2 separate regions of the Mus musculus genome follow, and region 2 is reported to be linked to region 1. Evidence: microRNA targets listed by miRTarBase, many of them from high-throughput screens and not tested one by one. Region 1 holds a microRNA gene; the other region holds the end of a gene's coding sequence.

What was found. The annotated mature microRNA mmu-miR-7078-3p reads UACUUUUUUUAUCAUCCACAG and lies in region 1 at 1,028-1,048, opposite strand. An mRNA with a match to its seed (bases 2 to 7 or 8) in the 3' UTR can be bound and repressed. Matches are read on the target gene's strand: a 7mer-m8 pairs with bases 2 to 8, a 7mer-A1 pairs with bases 2 to 7 and ends in A, and an 8mer does both.
Region 2: miRTarBase lists Prpf38b as a target of mmu-miR-7078-3p. Seed matches in the 3' UTR shown: 7mer-A1 at 1,160-1,166.

Annotation. Positions count from the first base shown.
Region 1 is chr8:117,457,206-117,460,355 of GRCm38, reverse strand. It overlaps Mir7078 (microRNA 7078), which reads right to left and starts at 1,091; the gene lies at 1,028-1,091. Cmip (c-Maf inducing protein) reads right to left here. Exons shown (of 21, transcript NM_001163262.1): 21 at 1-1,027. The coding sequence ends at 974.
Region 2 is chr3:108,901,362-108,904,361 of GRCm38, reverse strand. Prpf38b (PRP38 pre-mRNA processing factor 38 (yeast) domain containing B) reads left to right here. Exons shown (of 6, transcript NM_025845.3): 6 at 1-1,557. The coding sequence ends at 443. Among named protein-coding and RNA genes, the nearest start is that of Prpf38b, 8.9 kb to the left of the region's middle.

The DNA of each region.
Region 1 (3,150 bases):
CTTTCTTCCTCTTCCCTCCCACCTTGATCCCCACCCACAAGGAAACTGGAGACACATGGAAATTATACAGAGTAGCGAGTGGGCAGACTGACTGACCAGGAGAGCATTAGCATACAAGAGTCCCTTAAGAAAAAAAAGCAATTAAGTTTCCAAAGGTCTTTTTTTTTTCCCCCCCTGTTGTTGTTTGTTTCCTTAAAAAACAAAAAACAAAAACAAAACAGAACCACTAGCACTAACCCGACAGCTGACTGGTCCAGACAGTACTACACGCCATGGGGGAGGTGAGAAGGGCAGGCAAGTGGGGGCAGGTGAGGAGGGAGGGCCGGTCAAAGACTTCATAAATAAGAGCGGGTCCCAGACCCACAATTTGTCAACGTTTCTTAAATAGGTGCGTTATTTAAATCTTATGTACAACAAGAACCACTTTGCATAGCGATGGTGGGAGACACAGGACGATGGGGTGACATGACATTCCTGTCCCAATGGTAGGGGCGAGATCTCGGCTCGGTGCACCTCCAGGAAGAAAGCGTCCTCCTTCTGGCCCGAGTGGACAGCATCAGGCTGGATGAATGCCCTCCCCCCGCCCCCCCCTACGGTATCACACAACAAAAGGCAAAGAAAATCCACAAAGGGAACCCCCCCACCCCTCCCCTGCCCTCCCTACCCGCAGTTCTTCCTCTTGTTGCCACCAAGGCTGCTTTTGATCAAGGTCAAAGGTTCCAATATGAAGCTCTAAGAATTAGGTGGGGGCTGGGCGTGCCGAGGATTCCCCACCCGTCCCCCCTCCGCCCCCCCAAGACTCCCCCATCTATCCCGCAGCCAGGTGCTGGGACCACCCCGGGACCCACTGCTCTGCTCTACGGCTATTAGTCAAGAGTCGGGTTTTTTTTTGTTTGTTTGTTTGTTTCTTTTTTTGTTTTTGTTTCTTTTTTGTTTTGTTTTGTGCGAGCCCATCCTGTGCACAGAGGGGGCTTCACCAGGCTTCCGTGTAGCGAACATCAACCTCCTTTAGGTTAGGAAGCTTGGCCTGTGGATGATAAAAAAAGTACCTGGTCAAATACCAGCCAGCGTCTCCTACCACCCACACCCTGTCCACTATGAGGCTGTGGGATCTCAGGGCTCTGGAAGGGGTTGGGCTGGTGACCCAGGGCACAGGTGGCCTCAAAGACATCCATCACCCAGAGTAGATACAATTTTAATTGCCTTCTGAAATTGGACGACACATCTGATGTCCTGAGGCTTGTTTTCTCGTGATCACAGCTAAACTGAGCCCTGTCTCTGGCTCCCAGGTGGCATTTAGGGTTAACCGTAGCATTCTGGGAAAGCTCCCGAGCGCCACGAAATCAGACGGGACTTCCATAGGTCCCTTCCCATTGCTAACAGAATAGTCAGAGGGGGTGAGGGATCAGAACACACCAGCAGCCAGCTTGGACTCCACTTAGCTTCCTCTATCCTTAAACCTCAGTATGGTTTCTTTCACCTGATAACTTTTATTACATTTGTTTATTTGAGACAGAGCTTCATGCAGCCCAGGCTGGCCTCAAACAGGTATGAAGCTAAAGATGACCCCTCACTTCTAATCCTTCTGTCTTCAGCTCCGAGTGATGGAGCATGCATTACCTCATCGGGTTTATATGGTACTGGGTGTGGGACAAAGGCCAATCAACTTGCAAGACTCTTCTTAGCTCCTCCTTTTTGTTCCCGCTGGTAGACTAGCCTCTCAACAGCTGGCTCATTCCTTCACTGTATAGTGCTGCCTGGAACTCATTAATGGCTTCCTGCCTCTATTTCCTGTCTTCCTAACATGCCTGTGTACCTACCAGTACCATTCAATAATATGCATGCATCTCCATGCATACATGTACACACACACACACACACACACACACACACACACACACACACGGCGGGGTGGGGGGAGGGGGAAAACAAGCATTAATCTTTTAAAAAAAGACAGTAGGAACTAGACAGATCAGCCATTGCTGCCAGCACCCACGTCAGATGGCTCTCAACCACCTATAACTCCAGCCCCATAGAATCTGTCTGCCCTCTGAGTGTACCCCCACACATGTGGCGCCCTCTCTCTCCCTCTCTCCCTTTCTCTCTCTCTCTGAAAAGAAACAAAGGAAAGTGAGTTTTCCTCATAAGCAGCCTCTCCCACTTGATTCTTGGGGCTCTGGGGTTTTGGGGGAATTTGAGTGCAGGATACCCCGAGAGCTATGCTTCTTAAACTGCCCAGGTACCTGTGGTGTGTTTGTGTGTAAATGCACAGATGTAGCTAGGCGTGTGTCCTGGGGCCACATTTCTTCCAAACCTGGCCCAAATGCTGTGAGCACTGGTCTGCAGAGTCATCTTAAGTGTGCCTAGCTCTACAGGGGTGGGCCCCACTGCTGCCCCCTAAGTCCTGTGTCCTCTGGGATTCAGGGACTTCTCTGGTGACAAATCATGGCAGCTGCTGTTTGGTACAGAGAGACTGGGCTGGCCTGCATAGTGAACCATCAACGCACAGAGCGGGTGGCCTCAGAGACACCGGAAGTGGTATAAGTCTGTCCACTGGGCTCAGCGGGTGTTAGGTCTAGGCTTGAATCAGAGAGTAAGCCCAGCTATGGGAAGTCCAAAGACAGCAGTTGGTAGTAGCTGCAGGGCCACTGGGAGACCTCAGTGAAGGAGGACCCTGACCAAGGGCTTATGGGGACCCTCTGACAGGGGCTTCTGGGATGCTACTGTGTCTCGGGGATCCAAAGCAAAACGTGCTGAAGGCCCTGCCTCCACCTCCCTAAGAAGCACGTGTCCTCTGATGGATGATGACACATGCCTGCTGCCACATATATGCTCTCCTCTCTGCCCCAGCCTAGTGGACACACAGCCTGCTTCTACCCTGACTCCTGCTCCCACAGTCCATCTTCCAGACAGCTAAGGTCTTAAAACTAGGACGTGGTACCCCCTCCTCCAAGAGCCCCCAGGATTGTTCCTGACACTGGATAAAACCTAGTCCTTCTGTGACCATGAGGACTTCTATCAGTTCTCACTTTCCAGCCAGGCTCGCTACGGCCAGGGCCTGCCTATCTTCTCTGCTTCAGAGCCTTTGCTTAGATATACCAACCCCCCCTCTCACTCTGGATATCCCAGAGACTTCTTATCCTTTGGGTT
Region 2 (3,000 bases), not on the chromosome of region 1:
GGGGTGATGGAGAAGAGAAGAAGCACAAAGAAGACAAGGAGGACAGACGACACAGAGATGACAAAAAAGAGTCCAAGAAAAAACACAGCAGAAGCAGGAGCAGAGAGAGGAAACACAGGAGCAGGAGCAGAAACGCAGGGAAGCGGAGCAGGAGCAGGAGCAAGGACAAGTCAAGCAGACATAAAAACGAAAGCAAGGAGAAGGCAAATAAAAGAAGCAGAAGTGGCAGTCAAGGAAGAACTGGCAGTGTTGAAAAGAGAAAACGAGAACACAGCCCTAGCAGAGAGAAGTCTAGAAAGCGCAGCAGGAGCCAAGACCGTTCCCACAAGAGAGAGCATAATGATAGCAAGGACCAGTCAGACAGACAGGATCATCAGAGCAGCCAGAGTGGAGAGCCAGAGAGCCAAGAAAAGGAACACAAAAGCAAAGATGAGACTGTGTGAAGATTGTGTAAACTTGGATCACATTGAATCCTATAAATGTTGATTAAATTCTGCTTTTTTCCCCCCAAGTTGAGATTGTGCAGTAGTTATGCACTCTGAGCTCCCCGTAGGCTGTGTTTTCTTTTGTGTAGGGAAGTGCCTTTGTAATCCCATTACGCATTGATGTTTTCACCCTGTTGAGTTGACACATGATGCACAGAATGTTCTTGCATTTTTGTTTGTTTTTAAAATGTACAGTCTGTACATACGTCCTGGAAAATGTTTTAATTCCTTTGGCATGGTTGCCATGTTGGTTAAATTTGTATAAGGCAATAAACTGCCACTAATTCTATTTTTGTTTTGTAGGTGTGAGATTATGGTTGTGTACTGAAGTTAGCATGGCTGTGCTTTTCATAATAGAATGCTAAAGACTTTGGGAATGGATCTTGGATGTTTGTTTAGGAGAATTATGTGTTTTTCAGTATACATGGAGGCAACAGTTGGAGGGTTAACATTCTTGTCCACTGTATATTACCTTGGAAGCTCTTGTTAATATGTTGTTATTCTCCACAGTTAATGTTCGAGAGAATTTTTAAGAGGTTTAAATTAGGCTTAGATTTGATCAGAAGTCCTTTTAGCATTCTACCTCAAAGGGACACTGTTAGTATGCCTAAAATTTATTACTTTCCTTTTTACAATGTGCTTCCCCCTCCCTCTTGAATTCTTTCTCAGACTTTAAAAGTACTATATTAAAGTGTGTAAGCCTGGCGTTGTAGCAGCCCTATACTAAGGAGTGATTGGGAGAGGGCGGGGCGCAGGAGCAGGCGAGGGCGGGGCGCAGGAGCAGAGGAGCAGTCAAGCCTAAGCTTCCAAAGCATTTTATAATGGAGAATACTTAAATTATGAAACAGCTTGATATAGTATCCTTTTTTAAGAATTTAAAACTTTTTTTATTGATAATGAAGATTGCTGTTTGAGTTTTTAAACTTAATCTAGGACAGAAATATTACCAGTAATGCAGTGCTGCGTTATTTAAGACTATCAGCAAATTATTTGATAGATTGTTCTTATGACTTGTATTCTGATTTCAGAAAACCATCATGAGTGTGGAATAAATACTGGATTAAATCCTTTATCCTGGGTGTTGGTTTCCCCCCCCCCCCATTTGTTAACATTTAAAGAAAATTGTGGGAACTGATAAAATGTCAGCAGTTTTCTGTAGAGGAGATCTTGAGCAAAAGTGACTATTTAAAAAGAACACATTGCTCAGCCTGTAAAGGTGCTTCCCACCCAGCCAGACCTGAGTTCACCCCTGGGCTGGGAGGAGAAGGCTGGCAACAATACTATCTCATGGTGTACACATGTACCCCTGGAAACAGTCTCTTAATCCTTGTAGGTTGGAAGGAGATACGCTATGCTGGTACTTACTAGACTCTTAATAGCAGTTTCCCTTTTAGGGGAAGGAGTGGTTTTGTTGTTTTGTTTTTGTTGCAGGGGCTCTTCTGTCCACATCAAAGCTGATAGTTGAAATTGTACTTGAACAGTATTAATACCATTTAAAGTTTGGTTTTGAAAGTTTTAAGACATGTATTCAGGACAAAATAAAAAGAGAGAGAGAGAGAGGACCAAAGTGGTTAGTTATTGGTATTAGCATTATGGTTTTGGGTTTGTGTTGACCAATCAGGCATTTCATTGAAGAGCCCACAGGGGGCGTTTGTACCACTTGTAAGAAAGATCTCTAAGTGAAATGCTCCGGTTAAAATGCTGTACTTTTAGAACTCTAGTCCTATTTCAAATTGACAACTAGTCTGTTACAACTAGTAGTACAGATGTAACTATTATTCAGCAAAGTAGTTAAGTGAGTGCTGCCAGGTCTTGACTTTTGGAGTCCACATAGTGAAGAGGGGCCTGCATGGTGTCCTCTGGGCACACCTACACTGTTGCTGTCACATACTCAGACAGAATTTTAAGGAAATTGGGAAGCCATTAAGTGTAATTAATAACTCAGTTTTATGTTCAGTTGATTTTTTCCCCCTTAAAGTATCTAACCCTGGCTACATGATAGGCAGATGTTCTCTGAGCCATGTTCTCAGCCTTTGAGCATACCATTACTACATTGGAAGTGTTCAGTAGCGTAAGCAGACTATAGAGTGGCTTCCTGTGGCGGACGAGATTCATTGGTCATTTCTTAGACACTAAGGAATGCTTTTTTTAGTAAAGTAGAGATCTGGGCGTAAGAGTGCAGGTCTTTAATCCTGGAAAGGTAGAGGCAGGCATAAATTCCTAAGGGAATTGATAGTGCTATTGATCTTCAAGTATCTATAGCCCTTCAATCCGTAAGATTTGTTTTTCGTATGGTATGTGCAGGTGCTTCTAACCTGAGGCCAGAGTCATTGGTTCCCCCAGGGCTGGACTTTTCACTCTTGTGGCTGGCCCTGTTCCCTTAGTATCTAAATCTTCCCTGAGCAAAACAATTTGCCCACTCTCAGCACTCCTTAGATGTCTGTAGTTCTTCATCATTTCTTCAATCATTGTTTTCCAAGCCACTGTTTCTCCCTCTGTCTAAACCTCTTCCCTG